Linked DNA regions of Saccharomyces cerevisiae S288C. The protein of the gene in region 3 binds, or shares a complex with, the protein of the main gene of each other region. Each region holds a gene or a part of one and is shown on either strand. Other genes may lie near its edges. The genes, in order: IMG1, MRPL9, MRPL10 and RML2.

Region 1 (2,703 bases), on a different chromosome or scaffold from region 3:
GTGGGCTTTTCTTCAGCTTGTTCACTAAGTTCTTGGACAGGTTCATGGTCACGCCGCGGAAGGATCCGATGGAGAATTTCTTCTCAATTTTGTTGTCGATGAACTGTCTCCATGACCTGTTGGAATTCGAAGTGAATTGTTGGAATGCTGTGGGATTTTTGAACCTCACCAAATACTCCTCTGCGTATGCGAGGTTGACCAGCAAAGAGATGAGTATGCACTGTGGCTTCATGACCAGTGTTTTTTTGCTGTTTTTCTTGGCGGATGTTAGAGGATGTCTAGCACTTGAGTATACCTCTATATGCTGTGTAAAATAGAAAATAAAAAAGCCAATGAGAACAATATTTTGTGTCGTTTTTTTTATTTTCGCTTCAATTCTCTATACACGTACGTCATCACTACGGGAAACCAAAAAAAAAAAAAAGAAAACAGTACAAAAAGGTTTACTTTACCCATAGTTAGTATACGTAGATTTTATACACGCACTATTTTTCTTATATACAGGAGATGGGTGGCCACAGAACCCGCGCCTAGCCTATTTCTTTCTTCTTAGACCTGCCTCGAGGTCGCCGACATCCAACCTTGTACCTCTGATGTAGTAGTGTTTGTTTCTTTGTCTGCTCGAGACGTGGGGGGTTAGCAAGTCGATTCTCTCGATCAGCGGCGAAAACAATGGCACTCTAATCTCGACGGCCGTCTTGGCTATCTGGTTCCGCAACAGCAACGAGGCGTCTTGCACCAGTTGTTTGCGGTCTATGGAAAGGATGTAGCCAACAAAGGTGTCGTACGAGCACTTGGACGAGTCGTACACAATCCGGACCACGTCGCCTGCCTTCAAGCGGTCCTTGTTCTTTTTACTGATGAGCTTCCTCTTAACGGCCCCGGGATCCAGAGACTCTATTTCTGAGAGGGCCACCTGCTTCATAATCTGCGACGAAGCTATGCGCTGCACAGGTGGGTACACGGGGATGGTTTTTCTCTTGGTGGCGGGGACCATGTAGGACCTTGTCCATGATCCAAGCAATCTGACGTTCCTGCTCCACATCGCTATGGTTCTCTCTCCCTTTCAGCAGCTGCTCAGAGGGAAGACTCGATTCTTCTTCTTCTTCTTTACTGGGAGTTCCAAAGCACCAAAATTGAAAACCAAGAAAAAAAGGAAAATACATCACTACATAAAAGTGCGCGGAGCCATTGACCACTCACATACAGATATAAGTGTATATATACAAGTATACATATACAAGTATACATGTAGAAGGAGACAGAGACAGAGGGAAATGTATAAGTGTGTATTTTTATAGTATACAAAAGAATATGCGTGTGAGGATGTGTGTTTCTTCTAGAACCTGTGTCTTCTTTTCCTCCCGGTGAACTTGGAGTCCTTCGCAACTTTCCTCCCACGTCTTTTCATGAGCTCCTTCTTTCTTAGAATGAAACTCTTGGCAGACTCCTTGTCTTTGCCTCCCTTCAAGCGCTGGCGCAGTTGTTTCTTCAAGTTGACGTTCTCCTCGTCCATGGTCACACCGTCCAAATTCACCTGCTCCTCCCCCTGCGGTGGGGCCCCACTGCTCAACACAAGGTAGTACTTCTTATTCTTTTTAGACTCTGGGTCGTCCACCACAAGCCCGCCACTGAACCCTGCCACCTTGGCAGACTGCAGTATGTCGTCCACCTGGTCGTCGTTTTTCGGGTAGAACTGGGCCACAAATTTCCCTCCCTTCTTCAGTGCAGCATACAATGTGTTGAAAAACCTCATCAACCGCTGTTTAGGATCGTTGTATGAAGTGTCCGCATTGCACAGCCATTGGATCGCACTGATACTAATAGCCGCGTCAAACGAGCCCGCCCGGAACGGTATCCCGGTGCCCATATCCTGCAACATCAAGTCGCCCTCCAGCTCTCTACTAAGACCGGTCGCAAGCATGCTGGGCGATATATCCAAACCACACCACACATGGTCTCCCTCCTGCGTCAAAATCTCCCCAGACAGTCCGGACCCGCACCCGATATCCAGAATGAAACTGCACGGCTGCAGATTCAAAAGCTCCAACGCCCTCAGCGTCATCTTCGCCTGGATATGCTGCACTCTGGTCGAACCCGTGTACTTGTGTGCTTCGCTATCATTATAGAAAATCTCCGGTGGTGCCAACTCCTCAGGACGTGACATTATTTCTTCTCTGATATATTTCCTGTGTTTCCGTACCGCACCTTTTTAGCACTACTTTTTTACTATGCTCTTCTTCTTCTGCTTCTTCTGCTTTTTTCCTCTTTATCACACTATGTATGTGCTGCTCATCTCTTCTTTTTATCGATAAAATTGAAAAATGTGAGATGGTGTAGAGTGAAAAAAAAAAAAAAATCTGGCTTGGCCATCAAATACCCGGCCGTGGTTGGACTCGTTTAGCGAACAATAGCACCCAGCAGACCCTGGCAACATGCGGATGATATAAGAAGGACGAGCGTGGTGGAGGAAAGGGGCGCCATTGGCACACTCACGCAGGTGGTTGTTCAGCACGGCTTGCAGCAAGAGCGCCAAAACAGATTGCAAGAATGACGGAGACTAAGGATTTGTTGCAAGACGAAGAGTTTCTTAAGATCCGCAGACTCAATTCCGCAGAAGCCAACAAACGGCATTCGGTCACGTACGATAACGTGATCCTGCCACAGGAGTCCATGGAGGTTTCGCCACGGTCGTCTACCACG
Region 2 (3,045 bases), on a different chromosome or scaffold from region 3:
ATTCCCCCATTTAACATCCGAACAAATCGCAAGTTTTCTCTCTGCATTAACTAAACAATACAAAGACTTAGTGGTCTTCAAAGGCACTTTGAGGGACTTTTTGGTGCAAATCAAAGAAGTCGGAGGTGATCCAACAGATTATTTGTTTGCTGAAGATAAAGAGAATGCATTAATGGAACAGAATAGACTAGAGAGGGAAAAAGCTGCCAAGATTGGTGGGTTATTAAAACCTTCCGAACTTGATGATTAGAGGCGGTGGCGTATCATTCTTTAAATTTCCAATATTTTTTCCCTTTTATTAACTAGTCTCTAATTTATAACCACGGGGTTTTCATTTCTTTTTCACTTCATATTGTATGTAAATTGGTTCTTCAAAGTTCCAATACTCTAATATAGTACTAAATACTATTTAGCCAACTTCATGGAAAAGTAAAGAATATTATTTGAAGATTCTTAAGTGATTACCCATTTTATTGTTATTATTGATGTATGTACATGATTGTAGTAAAATACTTATACGCCTTATGCTCAAGTTTTTTTGATTGCATCTTGAATTTTAACGAAACTGTTTTTGGGCCCAGCCACAGAGCCTTTAACCCAAATAACATTATTTTCATCGTCGACTTTCAAAACTTTAACATTTTGGATAGTAACATGCTCGTTTCCCATATGACCAGGCATCTTTCTTCCTGGCAGTACCCTACCTGGGTCTTGGTTTTGACCATAAGAACCACCGTGTCTATGCATAATAGATGTACCATGAGATGCTCTCAAACCCTTGAATCCATACCTTTTCATCACACCAGTAAAACCTTTGCCTTTGCTGACTGATCTGACGTCAACATATTGGCCTTCTTTGAAAAAAGAGGGTTTCAATAATGTGCCAGGTGGTATTAATCCCTTTTCATCTTTAACTCGGAATTCGGCCACATGCTCTTTTGGGTTAACAACTTTAGAAGCGAAATGACCAAGCATTTGTCTGCTAACTTTAGACAAATGCCTTGATCCGTACCCTACTTGACACGCGAAGTACCCATTGACCTCCGAAGTTCTATGCATTATTACTTCAACATTATTAACTTCTAATATAGTAGCGGCGCTTCTTTCACCAGTAGATTTATCAAAATAAGGCATCATTCCCTTCTTACGAGTAATTAAACCGCATCTTTTTGGTAGCCATTTTCTCGCATTTGCCAGTTCAGGTGAGTGATTAATCGCTGGAGCCTCGGTTGTTATACTGTTAGCAATACTAGGAGCCACTAGAAAAGGCCGAGTAGAAGAATATCTAACATGAAGTTTTGATATGCTAAATATTGATCCCTGTAGGAACTTCGACATGGCTATATTTGTTCTCTCTTGCTTTCAAAGAGTTGCCCTTTCTCGTCCCAGTTGTCAATTTATCGTCCATATATTTTTCAATAAAGTTCGTTTGACAAGGGATTACCCGAAAACAAATATCTCGCGACTGTAATAGGAGAAATGGCATTAGCATTTCAATTAAGGAAAGAAGAGGATCATCGAGAAACGAATTTATGGTGCTTATTTACTGTTACAACATTTCATGATTTTGAATTTTATTTATACATGTACATTCTCGTACGGTGTTATTTCGTAATTATGGGATGTGCCCAGTTGCTTCCTTAAGTCTTCCGTAGAAGCTTTAAAAGGTAAGATTTCCCCCACACTAGGAGGCTGCAAGATGTCAGTGTCATCCAATAACCCACTAACACGGAAATTTATTGCATTTGACAACGTTGACGGCGGTTGTGATAAAGAAGATGATGTTGTAGTGGATGAGTTACCAGGGAGATATTGGGCCTTTATTAAATTTCTTAAAGATCCTGCAGGCTTATAGCGAGGTTTCATAGAAAGTTCTGATGGGTTGGTCATAACAACACTTTGTCTAAGCTGATATGGAAGGGGCGTACAAAATTGCTTTGTCAAAGATGTTGACGGTATTTTCGTAGGCGAACTGTAAAACATTTCAGGATGATCCATTGGATTCAACGCTGTCCCATTAAGCCTAGCTGTAGGTACATGTTTTAGTGTTTTTGGAGGTTTAGGCCTTCCTTTGAATGACGTCAAGGAATGCGAAGAGGTGGAATAAATGAATTGGGTAGGCGTGGGCAAATCTCCGATGTTCTCATAATTTTGAGGATGTTCTAACGGGAGGGGATAATTATAGTAGTAATTGTCATCATTGCTCTGGTTGCAGTGATCTATAAAATATGTAGAATATTGCTGAGCAGAAGTAAGATTTGACTGACCCGAACCCTCCGAAAGGGCCCGTACGGGAGCCTTTGCAGAGTGAATATGGTCCTTAGCGACCGTGTCAGAATATATTGATGAGGTAATTCTCGTTGAAAGACCATTCGGTGGTGGGAATGTAAGAGATAGAGACGATTCGGGAATCACTTTTTCTCTGGTTGCTACTTCTGAATATACTGACGATGCAATGTTTTTATTCTCTTGTGGTGCCGGCACTTGCAGATAATCAGTTGCATCTTCATATTCCTCATTGGCGCTGGAACTGGAATCAATTTCTTGGACAGTTGTACTTCCGAAGTGACTCTGTTCAATTAATGTAGTATCATTTGGATTGTCTTGAGAGCTCATATTTACACTTTTTCTTGTAGCGATGTTTAATTTAGAGTCACGCCGTATCGAAGAAGTTACAGAGGATCGTATCGTGCTATTACTTTTCTCAAAATAAATGTTATAAATGCTTCTTATTCTGTCAATATTTTCTTCCTCCTCTCTCGAACACTGAGGCTCGAGCCCGCTACGACTCGTATAATTCGATTTAAGTCGATTATCGTTGTTATGGCTGGACTTTTCATTTACATCAGGATTTGACGTACTATCACATCTTTGATCACAGTCTTGCCCAGTATTTGAGTGTTGTGGTGAAACAATCAGCTCAGAATTCTCTAACGATTCGAAAGAAATCTTATTCGAAAGGTCAATGTGCTTGGAGGGGACCGATAACTTGCTGTTATTCTGCGAAGCCAGTGAAGCAATATTATAAGCGGAGGGTGCATGCTC
Region 3 (3,168 bases):
ATAACTATTAGTTGATAGACGATAGTGGATTTTTATTCCAACAGTGTTAAAGATCTATTAGTTGATCATGTTGGAATAAAAATCCACTATCGTCTATCCAAACAATTCTCTCAAAATTCGCCCAATTCTCAAAATTCACCCATTTCCCACACATATGTGTTTTAGGAACGTTTAGGATAAGGAATCGTCATACTGACGTACCTCATTTTGAGATACAACAAATCATATATTATAAGACTCCATGGCCAAGTTGGTTAAGGCGTGCGACTGTTAATCGCAAGATCGTGAGTTCAACCCTCACTGGGGTCGTTTATTTTTTTTGTATTTGTGCTTATTTACTAAATAACCATTTCACCCTGTTATAATAATGCTTAAAAGAAGAATGTAGTTTTTCTCTTTTCCTTTAACTGCTTTACTTCTCCCGAAAAAGCAAGATGCAATCTTTTAATATGTTTGAGTTTGCTTAAAGTATATTCACAAAAAAGAAAATAAAAGTTAAAAATTTCTGAAAATCAGGACCTTATTCGATAGTTGGTCATAAATTGACTGAAAAATAGAATAATTTCGGACACCAAATGAATCATTAACAAGACAATATCTTAAGGTATGTACAAGTGAGAATATTACTTATATATAAAACGGTTAACAATTTTTTAGTGGTCCAAAGCCTTGATGTTCATGACTTTAGAATTAGACACAACTGGCACCCAATCCTTCTCTGGAGACAGTTCTTCTAGCTCTATTTCTAATGAGCTCTTTTTTACATTCTGTTTTAAAAAGTGTCTAGAACCCTTATTTTGAGCTTCTTTGATATCTTGTAAGAGTTTATCTTTTTCCATTACTAGGTAACCTCTTTTCTCTTCTTTACTATAGAAATCAATATCCCTTCTTTTCGTGGGTCTAGCCTGTAGTGGTACTCTTCCCCTCTTCTCAAGAAACCACTGGGGGTTGAGATGTGCCCTTAGACCCAACGGTGTGTAGTAACGAGCTGTAAACTTACCTCCTGCTTTTTCAATAGCCGCAATAGCCTTAGCGGATGCTCTAGAAGCCTCCAAAGCAATCGGTAGATTGTAGTGGAACTTTCCGCTGGCTAGAATTTTAACTCCGTACTTTATGGGACCAGTTACCAGACCAAGCTTTCTCATCTTATTCATGTCTAAAACCTCGCCTGGTTGCAAATGAAGCCTATTTTTATCATGAAACCATTGAATGCGTTTCAAGTTTAATTCCTTTAATGGTTTGGCGCCAACGTTGGTAAATCCAATTTTAGGAAATAGCTTGTAAATTGGAGTTTGACCACCTTCAAACCACGATTTTACTTTACCACGCGCCTTTTGACCCTTTTGACCACGCCCTGATGTCTTACCTAAACCGCTGGAAGGACCACGCCCAAGTCTTTTGAAAGACTTTGTAGAACCATCTGACGGTTTCAATTGTCCCAAAATCGAAACATAACGATAACTTTGAAATGCTAATACCGGCGATTTGAATAAACCTCGGAAAAAAATATCGTTACCAGCTACGCTAGTTAACATCATGGACGGAACAAAAGTGTTTATTAGTTTGCGACCGATTACGGTTGTAAAACTATTTCTTAATCCTGTTTGCCTTTCCGCTTTCATCAACTTCTAAAGGTCATGAGCTTTAATTTTACGCACTGCGTTTAGTGCAGTTACCTGGAGTTTCAGCCGGGTAAGAAAACTATACGATTGCCAAATAGAAAAACGGATATAAAGATAGTAGCTGTGAATAGTAGCTTTGTATAGTACATAAAGGTACCTTATCTAACATTGCTTGCGACGCAGAATACGCAAAATATACTGTTTAATTGCAATCAGGAGTTTGCTACGGTATTTGGTATAATCGGAACTCATATTGTCCTACGTTCACCGAGACCAATGAACGCACAATAAAATGGATACTTGGAATGCCCTACCCAAAATATGAGCTGCGTTTGTTTTGTGAAAAACGAAAAGTAATTAAGTTGTTTTGCAGAAGTGTGAATAATTGGGGGACGCCATTTGGTTTCTCTCTTCTGATTGATTAAAGTTAATTTCGGCACAATAACCCAATGACTGGCTAGGAAACTTCTCGATGCATCCGTGATCTCCCAAGGACGAAATGGTTTTTATCACGTCCTAACGACATCATATGTCCTCGAGGAGAACTTCTAGTATAGTATTTATTAACAATGGAATCCCAACAATCATCAAATTATTCACCAAATATACACAGATTCTTATACTAACTAAAGTAAGAAGATTAGGATTTCCATACTCATTTTGTTAAGTAGCACTTGTATATCCGGTTTTCTCAAGTTCTGAGCTTCTATGGCCAAGTTGGTAAGGCGCCACACTAGTAATGTGGAGATCATCGGTTCAAATCCGATTGGAAGCATATTATTTTTATTCTACGGTAAACATGCCTGATGGTGATTTGAGACAGACCCCATTGCCTCAGATTTGTGAAGAATAGAAAATGTGTACATTCATTTTGATAAACTATACATATACTTAACTTTTTAACATGATAAATCAATATTGATATGGTCGGTACTGTTCACTTTATCTATATTTTTTTTCTTTCGTGCAATAATCGTCGGCTTTAATAATATTATACATACAAAGGGAAAATGAAGGAAAGAAATATGAAAGGATGAATAAGTCTTTGATATGAATATGTAGTGTTGGTATCTAAACCTAGTCAGCGCAAAGAACTATTATTGGAATCCTTTGCATCATCGTAATCATCATCACCATCTGAGACATTACTCCCAATATTTGAACTCACATTATCGGGGTTGACAATGTGTAGTTGTCTTTCTTCCATCATATCGGGCAGCGAAGTAGCACTGAACCTTTGGTTCCCGTTATAGATCGAAGGAGGCTCCTCGTACACTACCGAGGGAAAGTGACTTCTTTTGCTGATATTATGTGCATCACCAGTAATAATAGAATCTCTGCCGCCCGGCGCCCTTGTCGGCAGATCATAAGTGGCAAAAGTAGACGCTGTATTCTTGGACAATGCTGTATTATTCCTAGAGGGTATGTGCCAGTTAGTGCTCGAAGCAGACGGTGGAATAACAGGGTTAGCGTCAGCATCACCCAGTGAGTACGGCTGGTACTGCTTTGTCTCTTCCAAGTCCACATGCTGAGAAGATTGGCGACG
Region 4 (3,630 bases), on a different chromosome or scaffold from region 3:
ATTATAGAAATGCCCAAAAGGAAGTCGATAGTGCTACATAATTATGTAACTTCATCCTCCTTCCTTTTATACTTTGTCGTTCGCTACCCTATTACATTATTAATTCTTGCATTTCAGCTTCCTTTAAATTTGATAGCTGTTTCCCATCGTACTTTTTGTCAACTAATTCTGTCCTATATGATAATTGAAGAGTGGGTGAATTTTGAGATAATTGTTGGGATTCCATTTTTAATAAGGCAATAATATTAGGTATGTAGAATGTACTAGAAGTTCTCCTCGAGGATTTAGGAATCCATAAAAGGGAATCTGCAATTCTACACAATTCTATAAATATTATTATCATCATTTTATATGTTAATATTCATTGATCCTATTACATTATCAATCCTTGCGTTTCAGCTTCCACTAATTTAGATGACTATTTCTCATCATTTGCGTCATCTTCTAACACCGTATATGATAATATACTAGTAACGTAAATACTAGTTAGTAGATGATAGTTGATCTTTATTCCAACAATAATACATATTAATACTATATACATAAGATCAAAGATGAAACTTGCTTCTTATTCCAGCAAGATTCTATATGCCATGATATACGACGAATAATATTTTGTGAATCAAGTTGATACTCCAAGGTTATGTTCTAATCTATGTTCTGTGGGTTCTTTATTTTTTGAATAACAACAAATAGTAAGCGCAAGTGGTTTAGTGGTAAAATCCAACGTTGCCATCGTTGGGCCCCCGGTTCGATTCCGGGCTTGCGCAGCTTTATTTTTTTAATCCATTCATTTCATGAGCAACTGTCAACTAATTCCAATACGAAGAGCCTAATTCTTTGATAGTTCCTTTTCTTTTCTAGTTTAGATTTCAGAAAGCGTAAACAACAATTTTAATCATCGTATTCAAATTTACATCGAACACGTTCATGATTAGCATGGAGTGTAATCATCATCAAAAAAAAAAAAAAAGAGGAGTGATAATGGCAATTAAGACAATTTTTTATATAACAGTAAGAATTGATATTGAAACCAAATTGTGCTTAACAAAAAAAACTAGGTCGAATGGATATTTTTCTTAATCCAACCGTACCGCTGTGTACAAATGAGGCAAAAGAGGTAAAATGTTTGAGAAAAGATTCCTTTCTTCAGCAATCCTTTTCTTGCATTAAATACATGTTCCTTGAGAAAACTTTTGATGTTTAATGTGTAAATATCTCATTAATTTCAGAATTTTCAGTGTTTGTTGTTTGTAAAATCAGTCATTTCAAAGATCCGCTTGGGGCGACAACTTAGTCATCATGTTAATGAGATACCAACAAAAAACTGTACTTGTAAGTTGTCTTTATCATCTCTAAAGGAACAATAATGCAGAAGAGAAAAAAGTAAAGAAAGTAATACACAAACATCCCCCTCTTGGCTTTATAAGCATACGCAAACAGTATAGTTCGAAAAAAAAAGTATTAGTACGATCTATTTTTGTTTGTCAGGAACTCCTGTTCCTTAACACATTCTATAGAAATATCTATATGTTACCATCCACGTACAGGTTGAAGCGCTTGGTATTTAAGATGAATAAGTATATTCTACGGTTAAATTTGAATAGAACCTCTGTTCTTTAAATACTCAAAAAAAATTTTCCATGCAAAAAAAAGACTACGCGAGGTGGAAAGTTAGGGCTTGAACCTATAATTGAAAGAGAAAGGGAACGTATGGGAAACTGAAAGCGAGTTCTAACTAAGCAAAAGAGAACGTTGTAAACTAGTCCAGAAATACGCAGAGAAGATAATTTAAGTGTTTATGAAAGATGTTGGTGCTAGGGTCTCTTAGATCGGCGCTGTCGTGCAGTTCCACAGCATCGCTTATTAGTAAGAGAAACCCTTGTTATCCATACGGTATACTCTGTCGAACTCTATCTCAGAGTGTTAAATTGTGGCAAGAGAATACTTCAAAAGATGACTCCAGTTTGAACATTACTCCACGATTACTAAAGATTATACCTAACGATACTGATATCGTGACTCTTGAGAAGCAGGATGAATTGATTAAAAGACGTCGTAAACTTTCGAAAGAAGTGACCCAGATGAAGAGGCTAAAACCCGTCTCACCTGGTTTGAGATGGTACCGTTCCCCCATTTATCCATATTTGTACAAAGGTCGTCCGGTTAGAGCCCTAACTGTTGTTCGAAAGAAGCACGGTGGTAGAAATAATTCAGGAAAAATCACTGTCCGTCACCAAGGTGGTGGCCATAGAAATAGAACGAGGCTGATAGACTTTAACAGATGGGAAGGTGGTGCACAAACGGTGCAAAGGATTGAGTACGATCCGGGTAGATCCTCTCATATCGCCCTATTGAAGCATAATACTACCGGCGAATTGTCTTATATTATTGCTTGTGATGGGTTACGCCCAGGCGATGTGGTCGAATCCTTCAGAAGAGGTATTCCTCAAACTTTACTGAATGAAATGGGCGGGAAAGTAGACCCTGCTATCTTGAGTGTTAAGACTACCCAAAGAGGCAACTGTCTACCTATTTCCATGATCCCCATAGGTACTATTATTCACAACGTTGGCATAACACCCGTTGGACCTGGAAAATTTTGTCGCTCTGCTGGTACATATGCCAGAGTCCTTGCGAAATTACCTGAAAAAAAGAAAGCTATTGTTAGATTACAAAGCGGTGAACATCGTTATGTGTCTTTAGAGGCTGTCGCTACCATTGGCGTGGTCTCCAATATTGACCATCAAAACAGATCTCTTGGTAAAGCCGGCAGATCAAGATGGTTAGGGATAAGACCCACTGTTAGAGGTGTTGCCATGAATAAATGTGACCATCCTCACGGTGGTGGCCGTGGTAAATCCAAGTCTAATAAATTATCAATGTCTCCATGGGGACAACTGGCAAAGGGGTACAAGACTAGAAGGGGTAAAAATCAAAATAGAATGAAAGTAAAAGACAGACCAAGAGGCAAAGATGCAAGATTATAAATAGGCTAATTTTAGTAGAAAAGAAGCAACATAGGGACCTTTTCTTCGTTGTTCTGGTTACATTTATCTGTACTATATAATTTTGCACAGCCTGTAGACAATGCCGCTTGTCCACAATCATGTAAATATAAATATTGAAACTTTTCACTTGTTTAAAATTTATGGCAAACCACTTTAATACTTTTTTCTTTTTAGGTACAATATTTACATTTTGATACTGTCCATCAGATTTTAGTCACTAACATCTAAGTTAAGGAAGTAAGAGATTCAGACTCCGGTAAGGAAAAAAAAAAAAAAGAAAAAAAAAAAACAAACTCTGAAATGAAAGCATTAGAAGAAAAAGTTATATCTCATGTACAATTTGAGCAAATTTGGACCGATATGATTTGAGGTTGTATGATAAGAAGTGCTATTTATGATTGTTTAAAAAGATGTTATTTTATTAAACAATTATACAAAATATCCTTTTTTTTAATAATGGCTTACATATTTTTGAAAAGGGTCTTGTTCTGCCTGAAACTTCAGAATATAACATCGTCTTCTTGATCAGCAACCAATGTTTCACCTTGAGGTTCCTCATCAGCAGCTACTTCTGAAGCATCTTGTTCTGCTCTATCTCTCTTCAATTTCATCTCAGCAT

What was found.
Region 1: MRPL10 (region 3) and IMG1 share a complex: the UniProt entries of both Saccharomyces cerevisiae proteins name them as parts of the mitochondrial large ribosomal subunit.
Region 2: MRPL10 (region 3) and MRPL9 share a complex: the UniProt entries of both Saccharomyces cerevisiae proteins name them as parts of the mitochondrial large ribosomal subunit.
Region 4: MRPL10 (region 3) and RML2 share a complex: the UniProt entries of both Saccharomyces cerevisiae proteins name them as parts of the mitochondrial large ribosomal subunit.

Annotation. Positions count from the first base shown.
Region 1 is NC_001135.5:209,379-212,081, forward strand, and holds IMG1 (mitochondrial 54S ribosomal protein bL19m IMG1), read right to left. Parts: upstream 1,046-2,703; coding exon 536-1,045; downstream 1-535. Other genes in the region: RRT12 (Rrt12p), read right to left, coding at 1-232; BUD23 (18S rRNA (guanine1575-N7)-methyltransferase), read right to left, coding at 1,340-2,167; ARE1 (sterol acyltransferase), read left to right, coding at 2,551-2,703. UniProt on the Saccharomyces cerevisiae protein: Component of the mitochondrial ribosome (mitoribosome), a dedicated translation machinery responsible for the synthesis of mitochondrial genome-encoded proteins, including at least some of the essential transmembrane subunits of the mitochondrial respiratory chain.
Region 2 is NC_001139.9:935,546-938,590, forward strand, and holds MRPL9 (mitochondrial 54S ribosomal protein uL3m MRPL9), read right to left. Parts: upstream 1,339-3,045; coding exon 529-1,338; downstream 1-528. Other genes in the region: exportin CRM1, read left to right, coding at 1-250; TOS2 (Tos2p), read right to left, coding at 1,579-3,045. UniProt on the Saccharomyces cerevisiae protein: Component of the mitochondrial ribosome (mitoribosome), a dedicated translation machinery responsible for the synthesis of mitochondrial genome-encoded proteins, including at least some of the essential transmembrane subunits of the mitochondrial respiratory chain.
Region 3 is NC_001146.8:102,481-105,648, forward strand, and holds MRPL10 (mitochondrial 54S ribosomal protein uL15m MRPL10), read right to left. Parts: upstream 1,623-3,168; coding exon 654-1,622; downstream 1-653. Other genes in the region: WSC2 (Wsc2p), read right to left, coding at 2,704-3,168. UniProt on the Saccharomyces cerevisiae protein: Component of the mitochondrial ribosome (mitoribosome), a dedicated translation machinery responsible for the synthesis of mitochondrial genome-encoded proteins, including at least some of the essential transmembrane subunits of the mitochondrial respiratory chain.
Region 4 is NC_001137.3:59,030-62,659, reverse strand, and holds RML2 (mitochondrial 54S ribosomal protein uL2m RML2), read left to right. Parts: upstream 1-1,808; coding exon 1,809-2,990; downstream 2,991-3,630. Other genes in the region: VMA8 (H(+)-transporting V1 sector ATPase subunit D), read right to left, coding at 3,512-3,630. UniProt on the Saccharomyces cerevisiae protein: Component of the mitochondrial ribosome (mitoribosome), a dedicated translation machinery responsible for the synthesis of mitochondrial genome-encoded proteins, including at least some of the essential transmembrane subunits of the mitochondrial respiratory chain.